Linked DNA regions of Stegostoma tigrinum. The protein of the gene in region 2 interacts with the protein of the main gene of each other region in a pairwise test. Links are inferred from orthologs where the notes say so. Each region holds a gene or a part of one and is shown on either strand. Other genes may lie near its edges.

What was found. The genes of interacting proteins can lie anywhere in the genome.
Region 1: the proteins of rchy1 (region 2) and klhl41a interact in binary tests that used the Homo sapiens proteins (3 or more experiments, as listed by UniProt). The two-hybrid records come from large-scale screens. The link is inferred for Stegostoma tigrinum from reciprocal best matches to the Homo sapiens genes RCHY1 and KLHL41.

Annotation. Positions count from the first base shown.
Region 1 is NC_081360.1:50,276,949-50,280,700, forward strand, and holds the start of klhl41a (kelch-like protein 41a), read left to right. Parts: upstream 1-744; 5' UTR 745-874; coding exon 875-2,002; intron 2,003-2,323; coding exon 2,324-2,481; intron 2,482-3,652; coding exon 3,653-3,752. UniProt on the Homo sapiens protein: Involved in skeletal muscle development and differentiation. Regulates proliferation and differentiation of myoblasts and plays a role in myofibril assembly by promoting lateral fusion of adjacent thin fibrils into mature, wide myofibrils.
Region 2 is NC_081354.1:2,950,206-2,953,957, forward strand, and holds the start of rchy1 (RING finger and CHY zinc finger domain-containing protein 1), read left to right. Parts: upstream 1-1,201; 5' UTR 1,202-1,249; coding exon 1,250-1,318; intron 1,319-3,752. UniProt on the Homo sapiens protein: E3 ubiquitin-protein ligase that mediates ubiquitination of target proteins, including p53/TP53, TP73, HDAC1 and CDKN1B. Mediates ubiquitination and degradation of p53/TP53; preferentially acts on tetrameric p53/TP53.

The DNA of each region.
Region 1 (3,752 bases), on a different chromosome or scaffold from region 2:
AGGTTGTGGGAAATGATTTTGTTTCCATTTCATGTAAATTCGTCAATTACCTTTTGTTTTTAAGAAATATTTGTGAAGTATAGATATATTTGACAAAGAAATCCATTCTACCCATAATAAAAACGAAATCATACCCTTCAAATGTGCAAATAATATGAAGACGTGTGATTTAAAATGGCAGTATGAGAGATTATATACTGTTGTACTAACTTGTAATGCAGTCATAATTTGACTATAACATTGTGCCATTAAATTTATTTTGAAAATTTTGACATCGATCCTTGGAATTCTTAAAAATAGAATCAGAACCCAAAAAAAACACGTGATTAAATGGTGGAAGCTGAATGAGTGAGTTGCGATTTGAAGAATCTCTTTGAGAATTTAGTGGAAGGGTTGATTCCGTAATTTGTGATATTCATAGCTGTGAGACACACTAGCCATGACGCTGTCTCAATATGATAAAAATAACTAAATGTAATTTCCTTAGTAATCGCTCCCGATAGTGATTGCCTATCCCGTTTAACTCCTAAGCTGGTCACGGTTGTTTCATAAAAATAAAATCCGAAAGAACTGTGGATGCTGTAAATCAGGAACAAAAACTAAGTTGCCGTTCTGAGGAAGGGTCACCCGACCCAAAACGTTAATTTTTTTTTCCTTCACAGTTGTTTCTTTCCGTCTGCAGCAGCTGCCAAATTGCGGTCCACATTCCACACTGGTTAACCTGGATTCCAGCATGTACGGTGTCTCTATATTTAGCCTGTGGAGTTAAATTACAAACTCTTCAAGTGCGGCAAGCCACTGCGTTCTGCCTTTTCAGGCGAACCCGAGTAAAGTGAACGCTACCCGCTCCCTCTGCCTTCGCAGTTTCCTCACCATGGACCCTCGGAAAGAATCAAGGGAAGAATCTCGGCTGTACCAAACCACGCTGCTGCAGGACGGACTGAAAAATTTACTGGATGAAAACAAATTTGTGGATTGTTCCCTGAAGGTGGGAAATAAATTATTTCCCTGCCACCGACTAATCCTGGCAGCTTGCAGCCCTTACTTCCGTGAGTATTTCTTTTCAGATGTAAGTGAGGAAAAGAAACGTGAGGTGGTTTTGGAAGATGTCGATGAAAGTGTCGTGGATATGATCTTGAAGTATCTGTATTCCTCTGAGATAGAACTGACCGATGAGAACGTGCAAAATATTTTTGCTGCGTCCAGCCGCTTTCAGATCCCCTCTGTTTTCACACTCTGTGTCACCTATCTTCAAGAAAAGTTATCTACTAGCAACTGTTTGGCGATATTCAGGCTAGGACTCCTTCTGGACTGTCCCCGGCTTGCTGTTGCTGCCCGTGAATATGCGTCCGCTCGTTTTGAACAAATCTGTAATGATGAAGATTTTATGCAACTGGCTTCTCATGAGCTTATCAGCATCATTGCGAATGACGCTTTAAACGTGGTGAAAGAAGAAACTGTATTTGAAGCTGTAGTAAGATGGGTCCGGAAGGACAAAGAGACCAGGGTCAAAAGTTTAGGAGAAATCTTTGATTGCATTCGTTTTCGTCTCATGACTGAGAAATATATCAAAGACCAGGTCGAAAAAAATGACATTATTAAGTCTAATCCAGATCTATTGAAGAAGGTGCAGGTGATTAAAGATGCTTTTGGAGGAAAACTTCCCAAGCCTGAGGCAGGTAGTAACAAGAGCGCAAAGAAAGGAGAAGGCGGTGAAGATCTAGCTAACGGCGATGTAGGAGACGAAGATCTGCTCCCTGGTTTTCTGAATGACATTCCCAGGCATGGCATGTTCGTCAAGGAAATGATCATGTTAATTAATGACACAGTGGCGGTGGCATATGATCCAAACCTAAATCAATGCTTTCTGGTTGCAGTGGGTGATCAGATCCCCAAAAACCATGTTAGTTTGGTTACAAAGGGAAACCAAATTTTTGTTGTCGGTGGGTTGTACGTGGATGAAGAAGTTAAAGAACAGCCCTACCACTGCTATTTCTATCAGGTACTCGTAGATCTATCGAACTGTGAAATCATATAATATGTTCAGCTTTGTTTCAGAAAACGTGATTGTAATTGTTAATTTAGTTCACCAATTTTCAAAATCATTCCAAGTTTACTTATTTAAAAAATGTAAGCAACTACTTCCATTTCAATGTAGTCTCTTCCCTGCTGTTTAAAAATAGATATTGTGCAAAATATGATAATTTTATGAATTGCGTGCTCCACCTCAAATTCCTATCAAATCTCATCGGATTTCTGAATACGTTTGATATAAATATATCGAGAATCGGTCACAATTAAACTGGCTTTTCCGACGCTTTAGTTTGACAGTATCGCTAGTGAATGGAATGGCTTGCCACCGCTGCCTTCAGCTAGATGCCTCTTCGGTCTGGGAGAAACAGAAAACTTTCTTTATGTGATTGGTGGCAAGGATCTTCCAAACGAGCAGTCATTGGATTCAGTATTTTGCTACGATATGAAGTAAGTAAATCCAGATTATTTGCATGTTAACAAAATGTTATTTTTAAATTATTTTGTAGCAACTTCTAACAAAATGCTGCTCCAAACCAGTATAGTTAATCAGAACCATGCTTTCACAGAAATATTGTACAGTATACCACTCAGTGCCATTACAGTTATAATTTAATACCAACAGTGAGCATATCAAATTCAGTCAGAATACAAGGACTGTCAATGAGATTATAGGTCCCGTCTAAAATAGTTTACCCTCCATTAGCTCATTTAAATAGACCTACCGTCATATTGGTTGAGTCAGTTCTGGGAACAGACTGCAATGGTAACTTGTTGCAAGGATAGTAGGAACTGCCGATGCTGGAGAATCTGAGATAACAAGATGTAGAGCTGGATGAACACAGCAGGCCAAGCAGCATCGCAGCAGGAAAGCTAACGTTTCGGGTCGAGACCCTAAGGTCTCCGCTTTCCTGCTCCTCTGATGCTGCTTGGCCTGCTGCGTTCATCCAGCTCTACACCGTGTTATCTCAGTATTGTAACTTGTATGTCATGTGACATTCACAAAGCATGATTAGAATCAGAATAGGAAAATTCGTCAGATAATGATGACCCAATATCATCTCTGTTGTTCAGTTTTTGAACAAGACACTTAGATCCCCTGTGTCCAATGTTCATTGTTTTATTAGACTTGCACATTAGAGTTTAGCTTTGAGTTCAGGTGAGTTTTCAACGAATGTAGTGTCGAAAGATTTCACGTTATTTAATTTCAATTCCAATATTGGGAAAGCCAGAGACAAGTTGCTCCAAGTTTTCATTTTCCACCACTCAGGACAATTGTATGAATGCTTCCTCTCCACAAATGCTGCAAGAACCTGCTGTGCATTTCCAAAAAAAAATCTGATTTTATGTATACACGTTGCTCAATTGTATGCAGAATGTCTTTTCAATTGACAGCAATATTATTGTCAGTGATAAATGACACTTGTACGGCCCTTGTATTTATGGCACTGTGAAATGGCTTGTTTAGGCTATTTTAAAACTTAAAGGTGTCGTTCCACTATTATTTGAGGCAATCACCTTCTGCAATTTTCAGCATATTCATGAACAAAAACGTAATTTTTAAAACAGGTAAACATTGAAGAATGATGAATACAATTTAAAAAAATGCATTTTTTTTCAGCAAACTAAAATGGAATGAATCCAAAGCATTCCCGTTTAAGATTTATGGCCACTCTGTGGTTTCACATAATGGATTAATCTATGTTATTGGCGGGAAGACT
Region 2 (3,752 bases):
TGGTAGGGCCTGCGGGATAGGAAGAAGCGGAGGGCCTTGAGGCCATCTCCATGCGGAATGCAGGTGTACAGGGACTGGACGTCCATGGTGAATATGAGGTGTTGGGGGCCAGGGAATTGGAAGTCCTGGAGGAGGTGGAGGGCGTGGGTGGTGTCACGGACGTAGGTGGGGAGTTCCTGGACCAAAGGGGAGAAAATGGAGTCCAGATAGGTGGAGATGAGTTCGGTGGGGCAGGAGCAGGCTGAGACGATGGGTCGACCAGGGCAGACAGGTTTGTGGATTTTGGGAAGGAGATAGAAACGGGCCGTGCGGGGTTGGGGAACAATGAGGTTGGAGGCTGTGGGTGGGAGGTCCCCTGAGGTGATGAGGTTGTGAATGGTGTTGGAGATGATGGTTTGGTGCTCGGGTGTGGGGTCATGATCGAGGGGGCGGTATCTTCTCTGCACCCCTCCAGTGCAAACACGTCCTTCCTACAGTGTGGTGATTAGAAGCATAACACCAAAGGATGATAACAAATAGGCTGTTCGGCTCCGCAAAACTCTGCGGAATTTCAACAGGATCACGGTCGACCTGGCATTCCTCACATCCATTTTTCTGCCCTTTCCCCATTATTCATCATTCCCTGACCGATCACGAATCTATCTCAACTAACAAGGTGTGGAGCTGGATGAACACAGCAGGCCAAGCAGCATCTCAGGAGCAGGAAAGCTGACATTTTGGGCGAAACGTCAGCTTTTGTGCTCCTGAAATGCTGCTTGGCCTGCTGTGTCCATCCAGCTTCACACTGTGTTATTTCAGATTCTACAGCATCTGCGGGTCCTATTGCCACTAATCTGTCTCATCCTGAAATATTCCACACACAACTTTATTTTAGACTTCCAGTATCTTGTTTTTATCCACACGGACGTAAGTCTAAAGGAATAACCCTTATCTTTCCCCAGCACTGGATAAAGCCTAACACACCTAAAATCTTCTCCCATTCAATGTATCAATCCCGCCCTCTTCTGTATCCATTTTCACTGTAACCAGTTCCGCGCCTGCGCACAGTACAGGTTCCGCCACGCCGTCGGCCCTGCGCTTGCGCACATTGCCATGATTCTTCCACGCCGCCGGTTTTACGTTTGCGTACAACGTCAGGGTTTCCTCGCCATCGGCCGGTCCTGCGCCTGCGCCTTCGCCTTCACCTTCACCCTGCCGGCGGGGTGGCGGCACTGCGGCTGCGCGATTCGTCTCCAGGTGACGGGGCCTAATGGCGGCGTTGGAGCCTGGGTGCGCGCTCCTGAAATGCTCTCATTATACCCGCTCCTGCAGGCTTCAGGTAAGCGGGATCTCAACCTCCCACGGGACATCTGGGTGGGAAGGAGAGGATACCTGCGTTTGTTCACCCCACCCTAATCAGTGCACAGGAAGATCCCAGACTGCAGGTTCCCTCCCCCACCTTTAACGATAGTGTTGGCCGAGGAGAACTCCCTCATCCCCCTCAAGTTTAAAACCACAAGAAATCGCATTAGGTGCGGGCTGTGTCCCCATGCGCGGGGCCAGTGCTGTTTCAGAGGGTTGGTGTTGATTCGATGGACCGAATGGACCACTTCCATGCTGCAGGGATTCCCTGAAATTCTCTTCCTCAGCGAGTCATAGAACCAAAGATTCTTCACCCTCTGAGAAATCTCTTGTAGAATACTGTGCCTAGTCCTGGTCGCCCTGCTATAGGAAGGGTATTATTTAAACTGGAGAGGGTTCAGAAGAGCTCTACCAGGATGTTGCCAGGAATGGGAGGGTTTGAGATATAAGGAAGAGGCTGCATTGGCTGAGACTTGTTTCACTGGATTGTGTGGGAGGTTGAGAGGTGACCTCCATGGAGGTTTATAAAAATCACCAGGGTTGTAGATAAAGTCAATAGCAGGTGTCTTTCCCCAGGGTGAGAGATTTCAACATAAGGGGTTGTACTTTTAAGGTGAGAGGAGAAAGATTTAAAAAAAACATGAGGGACAATTTTTTTTACCACACCAGGAGTGGTTCATGTTTGAAATGAACCTCTGGAGGTAGTGGTGGATGTAGGTACTGTTAGAGTTTTTAAAAAATTGAATATGTTCATGAATAAGTCTATTTGAATCTATCATTTAGGAAGAAATAGGAAAACATCTGGATATAAATTGTCCCATTGGGAACACCCAGTATGGGTTCATGAAGGGTAGGTCACGTATAACTAATTTGGTGTAATTCTTTTGGGACATTACTTGCATGGTAGTCAATGGGGAACTTGTGGATGTGGTGTATCTGGATTTCCAGAAGGCAAGTAATGTATTGGCATAGAGAGAGGATTGGTTGACCAGTAGAAAGAAAAGAGCAGGGGTAAATGGGTGTTTTTATTTTGTTTGGTCGGTGGCTAGTGCTGAGCCGCAGCGAACAGTGTTGGGACTGCAATTGTTTACAGTTTACATGGATGATTTAGAGTTGGGTACTAAGTATAGTGTGTCAAAATTTGCAGATGACACTAAGGTGAGCGGTAGAGCAAAGTGTGCAAAAGATACTGCAAGTCTGCAGAGGGATGTAGATAGTTGGTGAGTGGTAAAAAGGTCTGGCAGATGGAGTACACTGTTGATAAGTGTGAAGTCATCCATTTTGGTAGGAATAACAGCAAAATGGACTATGTTTTACATGGTAAAAAATTGCAGCACGGTGCTGTGCAGAGGGACTTGGGTGTCCTTGTACATGAATCGCTAAAAGTAGGATTACAGGTGCAGTGGGTTATTAAAAAGGCAAATGGAATTTTGTCTGCCGTTGCTCAAGGGATGGAGTTTAAAAACAGGGAGGCTATGCTGCAGCTCTCTAGGGTCCTGGTGAGGCCGTTTGGTCTCCTTACTTGAGAAGAGATATACGAGCACTCGAGGGGGTGCAGAGGAGATTCACTTGGTTGATTCCAGAGTTGAGAGGTTCGGATTATGAGGAGAGACTGAGTAGACTGGAATTATACTCATTGGAATTCAGAAGAATGAGGAGAGATCTTATAGAAACACAAGATTATGAAGGGAATAGATAAAGTGGAGGCAGGGAGGTTGTTTCTGCGAGCAGGTGAAACTAGGACTAGAGGGCATTGCTTTCCTTTATATTGAAGCAGATATATGACTGAGGCCCAAGAGGAGCTTTTTCATGCAAAGAGTTGTGAATCTGTGGAATTCCCTGCCCAGTGTAGTGGTTGAAGCTACCTCACTGAATGTTTTTTAAGGCAAGGCTAGATAAATTTTTGAACAGTAAAGGAATTAAGGGTTATGGTGAGTGGGCGGGTAAGTGGAGATGAGTCTCAAAAAGATCAGCCATGATCTTATTAAATGGTGGGGCAGGCTTAACCGGCCAGATGACTCTACAAAATGGGAAATACCAACATTTTAAACTGTGCCCTATGTAGTCCTAGTATCCTCTGCAAATGAAGGAATCGTCTCAAATGTCACCTTATCAGTCAACAGCCTTTTGTTGATACTTGTACAGTTCTGAGGGGACGTGGCAGGCTGGATGTTGAGAGGATATTTCAATTTATAGGGGAATCTAGAACTAGAGAATATAGTTTCTGAATAAGGATTTTCCCATTGAGGACAGAAATTAGGAGACATTTCTCAAAGCCATGACCTGTGGAATTTGGTTTGCCATTGAGCACTGTAGTTTGGATTGTTGAATGTATCAGTAGTCGAGTTAAACAGATTGTTGATCAATAAGGGACTGTAGGCTTGTGGGAGACAGGCAGGAAAGTGAAGTTG